Sus scrofa: one gene and its partner. Each later gene encodes a partner of the first gene's protein in a complex. Links are inferred from orthologs where the notes say so. Each region holds a gene or a part of one and is shown in the gene's direction. Other genes may lie near its edges. The genes, in order: GABBR2 and KCTD16.

What was found.
Region 2: the proteins of GABBR2 (region 1) and KCTD16 are in contact, whole or in part, in a crystal structure (PDB 6M8R), measured with the Homo sapiens proteins. The link is inferred for Sus scrofa from reciprocal best matches to the Homo sapiens genes GABBR2 and KCTD16. Residues at the interface, in NP_005449.5 of Homo sapiens: Ile882, Asn883, Ile888, Gln889, Arg891, Leu892, Ser893, Leu894, Gln895, Leu896, Pro897, Ile898, Leu899; in NP_001357415.1 of Homo sapiens: Asn30, Gly32, Gly33, Gln34, Val35, Tyr36, Asp64, Leu65, Ala66, Lys67, Asp68, Ser69, Arg72, Phe74, Gly79, Phe80, Arg83.

What each region holds. Positions count from the first base shown.
Region 1 is NC_010443.5:240,107,717-240,111,527, reverse strand, and holds part of GABBR2 (gamma-aminobutyric acid type B receptor subunit 2), read left to right. Parts: intron 1-1,434; coding exon 1,435-1,600; 3' UTR 1,601-3,811. UniProt on the Homo sapiens protein: Component of a heterodimeric G-protein coupled receptor for GABA, formed by GABBR1 and GABBR2. Within the heterodimeric GABA receptor, only GABBR1 seems to bind agonists, while GABBR2 mediates coupling to G proteins.
Region 2 is NC_010444.4:145,703,498-145,707,784, forward strand, and holds the start of KCTD16 (BTB/POZ domain-containing protein KCTD16), read left to right. Parts: upstream 1-1,204; 5' UTR 1,205-1,920; intron 1,921-2,017; exon of another isoform or gene 2,018-3,175; 5' UTR 3,176-3,260; intron 3,261-3,630; 5' UTR 3,631-3,962; coding exon 3,963-4,287. UniProt on the Homo sapiens protein: Auxiliary subunit of GABA-B receptors that determine the pharmacology and kinetics of the receptor response. Increases agonist potency and markedly alter the G-protein signaling of the receptors by accelerating onset and promoting desensitization.

The sequences.
Region 1 (3,811 bases):
AGCACCTGGAAAAGGTCTCAGGAGAAGCCCTTCTGCCCAGAAGATCCTTAGGAGTGGAGGCAGCACTGCATCTGTCCTCATCCATCTCAGAACCCCCACTACCCCACATACACCCCAGGGCAACCCTGGTGGGATGAAGCAGCCTCCCTGAGTTGATGTGCCTCCCCGCAAAGTACCGTGGTTCAATAGAAGAAGCAAGGGTCCTACCTTCTCCAGCTCTGATTCTGTTTCTATGAGCAAGTTATGCAAACTCTGTACCCTTACCTTGTCTTTATAATGGGAACAGCAATGCTTCTTTGGCCTGCTGGCTTTTGTGAAGGTCTGAGGGTTTTTTCCATCTGAGTGGCCAGGCACAGGGGACACAAGGAGACCTAAGAGTTCAGGAAATGCCCAGAGCAGGGCACATGGCCTGGGCACATCCACCAAAGCAGGCTTCACAACAGTGGAGGTGACTTACTGACCTGCCAATTGTGAAAACTGATGGTAAGACGTGGAAGGGTGTGGCAGTGAGCAGGGAGTTGGAAGGCAGCTTCTTTTCACGATGCTTCTCCGTCAGTCCTGCACACCCAGCCCTGGCTCAGCCCGGCCTCTGCTTTTTCCTGGCTGCATTTCAGGGAATTTAGCAAGGTTTCTGGGGGCATAGAGGAGGAAGGGGCTCACTCTCTGAGGGGTTTCACGCAAAGAAAATGACATCTAAACTGAATCTTAAAGGGAAAGCAGTCATCAGATGGGAAAGCAGAGGAAGAGCTTTTCCCGGCAGAGGAACAGCATGTGCAGAGGCACTGAAGAGTGCCCAAAAGCAGGGCTGTAGAGGAAACTAGGCGCCAGAGGGCAGGTTTGCAGGGAAATGGAGGTACAAGATTCACCTGGAGCATTTGACATAAGACAGATCTTGGGGAGCCCTGAATGCCCCATCCCAATGCTAGAGAGATAACACTGGTTGGTAACCAGAGAAGCTGAAAGATCAGGAAGGAACCTACTGGAATTGGCCGGGCAAGAAGGGCTGAGGTCCTGGGCAAGAGACAGTGGCAGAGAAGCCGATGAGGAAGGACAGAGCAGTTGAGAAGCCTTTTAGGGACAGAACCCAAAGCCAAGTCCACTTGGGGACTCACAAGAGCAGAGAATGGGAACTATCTGTGTTTGTAGCATAGCAGGGCCAAGCCTTATTCGTAGGAGTCACCAGACGCTCAAGAAGCCTGCCTCCTCCTTGTTTACTGTCACCCTGCTTCTTCCCAGGTCAGTAGTTAGCACACGTAGGCCTAGATTAAACACTTGCTACATGGGTGAGTGGTTAGATGACAAGATGGACAGATCTTGGATTCAGAGAGAACTGTACTCCTAACATCAGCTTCTTAGCCAAGGTGAGTCCAAGGAACGTCCCGGTGTGCAGCCACAAGCCTTCACTAACTGCCCCTCTTTCTCTCCCTGACACAGCATCCAGCGCCGGCTGTCCCTCCAGCTCCCCATCCTCCACCACGCCTACCTCCCATCCATTGGAGGCGTGGACGCCAGCTGTGTCAGCCCCTGCGTCAGCCCCACCGCCAGCCCCCGCCACAGACACGTGCCACCCTCCTTCCGAGTTATGGTCTCGGGCCTGTAAGTGGGGGAGGCCTGGGGCTGGGGCCTCCCCCGTGACGGAACCACACGGAGCAGAGGCGTCTGCTACAGGAACACTGTCAGCTCTGGCTGCAGAGAAACTGGCGCCACGGCTGGCCTTGCGGGACTACTCGGATGGCACTCGGTGCAGATGGGGGGCACTTGGCACCTGACCTTGCGCCTTATTTGTGAAGTTTTTATTCTTTCACAAAGAAGAGGAATGGAAATGACCTCTTCCTTAATGTCTGCAAAGGAGGAGGAGCTGGGATACATGAAACTTGGCAAAAAAAAAAATCCTAGACAAGGAGAAACTTACTAGAACTCCAGCTAGAAGTCACTGAGTGGTCCTGAGCAGCCCTGAGAAGAGGCAAGGGGCTTCTGGAGAACCGCCTCTGCCTCTGCACACATGCCACTGGCTGTGGCTCCCAGGCCAGCCCTTCTCCACTCTGGGGAAGGAGACAGGCAGGGCAGCCAGGCTCCCAGCTGCCAGTCCAGCCAACCCCAGACTTCCTGGAACAGGGAGTCTGCAGGAAGGGCAGCTGGGCACAGCTCTGCAGCGAGCGGCCTGAGGGCTGGGCAACCGAGGGCTGGGATACCGAGCAGGCTGACTCGCATGCCTCCCAGTGGGACCTTACTCTCTGATAAATGCCACCCATTAACACAATAACACCCGTTCTGGGACCGTGGGGATTTAGGGCACGTTGCTGCAGACCCACTCTGCAGCACTCACCCACAGTCGGCCATGCACCCACCACGTTGGCCATGTCCTTGTGTTTGTATCAGGTGTTCCCCATAATAAGGGGGCCACCGGAGCTAATCATGGAATGTCTGTTCCCAGCAAACATGATAAAGATTGTGCACTTTAACCTCTCTCATCAGGGCCCAAGGGCTGGCTGGGGTTTGGTTTTGTTTATTCCCACTGACTTTGTTTCTGACCAAAGTGAATCGGGAGCATTTTGCCAGAAGATATCCCTGTAGTCCTGGGGGTGAGAGTTATTAGCTGAGGACTTCTCTTAACTTCCCAGAAGGCAGCATTCATCCAGACAAGCCCGTGAGCTCTGCCCTTGGGGGTCCCAGAGGTGATAGATCAGCACACTGATTCTCACAAGATCACTCTTTCCTTTTAAATGAACCCCAAGGAGCACTGGCCTGGGAGTCAGACAGACCTGGGTTCAAGCCCTTGCTCCACTGTGACTCCCTCCAAGACCTTGGGGAAGTCGCTTATGTCTCTCTGAGCCTCAGTTTCCCCTAACAAATTGGGGTTGAAATAACACCTGTCCTGCCTACCTCACAGGGTCGCTCTGAGGATCAAAACTTGATCTTGTCTAGGAAAGCTTCATACCAAACAGTGAAGCAGCCCTGACCCGTGAGGTATCAGGATGAGCATGACCTTCAGCCCTCAGGACAGCCGGGGCTATAGCCCAGAGAAGCTCCCAGCACAGCCCTCTACCAGAATCCATCCGGCTGAAGGCTCCAGATGACTTTTGAGACATTCCTAGACAAGTTCATTCTTTGCTAAAGAAAGGCCTGAATGACAGTGTCCAGGACGTCTGCACAACTGAGCAGTCGCTTGCTCCCTAAAGTAACCTAATGGCAGCTTCAACAGGCAGGCAATAATCTCTTCCCAGACCACTGAAGTCAGGAATACAGTGTCACCACCAGGGTTTGACAAAAGGGCCCGCGGGAATCTTACCATCGCCAACATTTCAGAACACCCTATTTCACGTAGCATAGCTCTCCCCTCCCCAAAGAGAGGTTACGGAGGTACTGTAGCTTTTAGGGGGAAACAATGTTAACATATCACAGGTCAAGTTGAAGTCACTGTCTGTTTAGGCACTAAAAATCGGTGTTGTCACTCACTGTGTATTACCAGTATTTCCTTGCTTTCTTGATTTCACCAAAACCAGATTTAATTTAAAGGACCGCATTACTTTTTCAAAGGGAAAGAGACAATTCATTGTACATAATGTATACACACACACACACACACACACACAATAATACCTATAGAAATATTAATCCATCATAGCAGGAAAAAAAAAAAAACGAAAAACAAAGTATTGGAAGTTGGAGGTGAGTGTGTGCGTCCGTGACCCGCTGTGACTCCCGAGCGCGCAGTCTCCTAGGTTAACCCTCACAGTACATTCTGTTTTAATGATACTGTAGGTTCACCTGTTTTTGTTTTTGTTTCTTTAATTTCCCCACAAATAACAAG
Region 2 (4,287 bases), on another chromosome or scaffold:
ATTCCTCAGTTCTTCCTCAGAGGTTCTGCCCTGGACATGGAACGCAAACTTTTATGCTTGTGTATTCATCTCCTAGATTTTCTAAGATTCTCCAAGCAGCCCTTTCCCCCAAAACCTTAAGTACGACTGGTCTCAAAAATATCCTAACCTATGAAACCCAGATCAATGAACAGAGCTCCTCATTTTTGAAATTTAGAACACTCTTCTTTTAAATTGTAAGGATATTTTAGCCTTGCAATTTCACTTATTACTAACAATTCTTTTCAATGACTTGCTGTTTTTTTTTTGAAATGCATAACAGGAGTTCCTGTCGTGCCTCAGTGGTTGACGAATCTGACTAGGAACCATGCGGTTGCAGGTTCAATCCCTGGCCTTGCTCAGTGGGTTAAGGATCCAGCGTTGCTGTGAGCCGTGGTGTAGGTCGCAGACGCAGCTCGGATCCCACGTTGCTGTGGCTGTGGTGTAGGCCAGTAGCTACAGCTCCGATTAGACCCCTAGCCTGGGAATCTCCATATGCCACAGGAGCGGCCCAAGAAATGGCATAAAGACAAAAAAAAAAAAAGAAAGAAATGCGAAATAAACATGTTTCCTTATTTGCCGCCTTTCCATCTTTATTCTAGAATCCATAATGTTAAAAACAAAACATTGATGGTACTGAATAGGCAATGATCTGAACCCTACCCTCATGCTCCACAGCTGTGTGGCCCTGTGGAAAAGCTTTCCCTCTCTGGTACTCAGCCTCTGTAGCTCTAAGAGGAGATGGTGATTCCATTTCTCAAGTTCCTTTTAGCTTTATAGGACCATGGTTTTTTTTCTTCCTCTCATGCTTTACTTCCTGCCAAATTGCCCCTCAAATATTTTAATAGCCCATCTCCAAAGTCATTGTCATGGCATACTGCCCTACTCCGTTAGATACTAAACAATTGGCTTTTAACTGTGAACAAATTCGGTACTTAATAAGCATAAATTCAAACTTATTTATACCCTGTATCTGATGGCAAATAACTGTTTACTTTGTAATTTTGATGAACAGAACCTTTCAGGTAAAACTCAAATCACTATAAAAAAAACTTTAAAATAAAGGAAAACTCTAACTTTGGGCTCAAGTAGGTTGCCAGATACACATCTGCAGTGATAGCATAGGGACACTAGATGGCGATATGAGTGCACCAAATAATAAACATTTCCTTGACTGGTCCAGTGTTAAAATCCCAGTGATTAAGGCCAGAACAGGTTAATATATTAGTTAAAGAAACAAAGTCAACTATAATTAGGTGTTAGAGTGTTAGCTAATACTCTGAATGTGTTCAGTAACCTGATACTTAGTGAAAGAAAAGAGTGTTAAATTAGAAATTAATTTACATGACTGCTGAGTCTACGTTCAAGCTAATTCTTGGGGCAAGAGTTGGCAATAAACATGTGTGTCCCATAAAATGGATCTAATTCATACTTTCCTGTCCACTTTTGGTTTTGGGGTTTTTTTAATAGCAGTTGTTTGGAATGGAGTGTGCCTTACATATATTATTCATCGACAAAGTACTATATTCTCATTAGGAATGTGAGTCCTAAGACATTGGTGTTTTAAAGGGGAAATGGCTGACTTACTGTAAGCTGTTGGCTGGGCCATTATTGACTGGCAGGATCAACTGGAAGCACTTTGTTAGTGGATTAGGTTGCCCTGGAAATGCCTTTCTGAAAGTCTAATGATGCACTTAAGGGAACCCTCTGGGACAGGAGTAAAATGTCTCTTAGCAGGCGTGTCTTCCACCAGAGTCCTCTTGGGATGAAATGGGAGGGGGCCGGCCACATCCAGAGAGATGCTCAGTAAGGAAACAACCCCAGGAAAAGGTTGCAGGTAACAATTTCTTACATGGAAGCGAAGATAACGCCTTACTGACAGGAACTCTGAGTTTTCTGAAGGTACCAGCGCTTCGTGTATTCTTTTGAAAGAGCACCATTAATTCCAGAGATTGCATGTGTGCATGGATGTATATATTCATTTACTAAATGCTTATTTATTTGCTGGGGTAGGGGTGGCGGAGGGATGGAGAAGGAAAAGACAAGAGAGCGCAACTGAGAGAATATGGTTTGATCCTCTCTGATTGGAGAAAAAAAAAAAAGCCCTTCTGTAGGTTGAACATCGGGGTCACTGGGTGTTTTGTTGCTGTTGTTTGTTTGTTTTCTTAAACAAGCTTTAGAGGGGGAAATTTGCCCTTCGGCAGAAATTCAGTGCACGTGCGCAAAGGGCTTGTTGGGGGTTTTTTGTTAATGAAAAATCGCTGTGTTTATCTCACCACTGGGTGAAGGGGTTGTTTCCGGCGGCTGGGGGGGCGGTGGAGGTCTAAAGACAGGAAAAAGGGCAAAGCAAAGGAAACTCCAGACTCGCGGGCAGGACGGGAGGGAAGTGGCTAGGCAGCGCTGGTCCCCGCCCCAAGCCCCAGCGCGCCCCGGGAGTCGCGTGCCCACGGCCAGAGCGCGGCGTTCCCGTGCAGTCCTGGCGACCTGTCACCGGGGAGGACGTGACTCGGAGCTGCCTCCGCTTCCTCCAAGCCATATTCCTTTAAGATGATGTAATAGTCATTTCCCTGGATGGTTTCTTGCCTGCACTGCTGAAACAACAGCATCCTAACTGCACTGGGAACTGTGGAACCACCCAGAGCCGCCGCCGCCGCCGAGAAGCCGGAGCCCGAGCCCCCGACCGCATCTCTGCGCAGCGGCGGCTGCCGGCTCCCACCTGGCTGGGAACATGGGAGTCCGCTTGCCCTTGCCGGCAGGTGGGTGACTACCTGGCACCCCAGCAGGGCACATCTGTCTTTCTTTCTGCTTCTGGGCTTTCTGCAAAGCTTCTAAGTCCCAGTACCTCTTGCAACTCTCTTCTGTTTTAAGGATTCTTTCCAAAGGTTGGATTTTTTTTTTTTTTCTGCCCCTGGAGAGGCTTTGGTTGAATATTTTTCTCTGCTTTGCTTTTTCAATCCAACCACCTCTCATCACGGTTTAACTTTTTTGTGACTTGTTTTAACTTGAGATCGGGAGTGGATATCTACATACATATACACAAATATACATTTATATAAATATTTATATATATATATAATAATTATTATTTTCTAAGAGCACATCTCTCTGGCACTTTTCATTGATACCTCTGTCCTTTCCCTCTTTGGGATTTGACAAGCTCCAGACTGTGTGTGGCTGTGGATTTGGACGGCTTCGCAAATGGGTATTTCTTCACAAGAACTGTGTTTCCAGCATTCGCTAAGGTAAGTTCCCAGGCTTATTGCTCTCCCTCTCTAGCCAGAAGAAGAAGAAGAAAAAAAATCCCCTTTTAGAAGTTGAAAATTGCATATTCCTTTTTAATGCTGAAATAAAAATGGAGATGTTTTTAATACTGAAATGCTGGAGACAGAGGAATATGAATAGATAGGTAGACACAAAATAGCTTGAGAGAAGCTATGGCTTAGTTGAAGAATGGCTGAAATCAGTAGTTCCAGGGCTGCTTATGTAAAATAATCTCTCCCTCCCTCCCTCCCCTGCTTTCCTCCCTCCCTCCCTCTCTTTCTCCTCCTTTTTTTTTTTCTTTTTCTGACTCATGCTGGGTTTGAGGAAATAATTTTCTCTCTTTTCCTTCAGACAGACCTCTCAGTAACTGGGGACCTGGCCTGCCCTGCCTACTGAGCTCGGGAGAAGATCAGGTGGAGATGAGTTGATTATATTCCATGAAGTAATAGCTCCTCACCTGCCAGGGTTTAAACTACTTTTGCAGCATCGCTTCACCTGTGGACTCTTTGAAATTTTGCTTTCTTGGGAAAAAAAAAAAACAAAAAAAAAAACCGGGGTAAGAGGAGGTTGTTTTGAACAAGTTAGCGTCTTTTCCCTCCCTTCCAAGTTGATACAAAGGAGCAGGCTGTGACTCCATTGGATTTTGCACCTTCACATCAAAATAGGAGAAGAAAAGAGGGACCATGGCTCTGAGTGGAAACTGTGGTCGTTATTATGCTCGAGAACAGGGGGCTGCAGTTCCCAACTCCTTCCCCGAGGTCGTGGAGCTGAATGTTGGGGGTCAGGTTTATTTCACTCGCCATTCCACACTAATAAGCATCCCTCATTCCCTCCTGTGGAAAATGTTTTCCCCGAAGAGAGACACAGCTAACGATCTGGCCAAGGACTCCAAGGGAAGGGTTTTCATTGACAGAGATGGATTCTTGTTCCGTTATATTCTGGACTATCTCAGGGACAGGCAGGTGGTCCTGCCTGATCACTTTCCAGAAAGGGGAAGGCTGAAAAGGG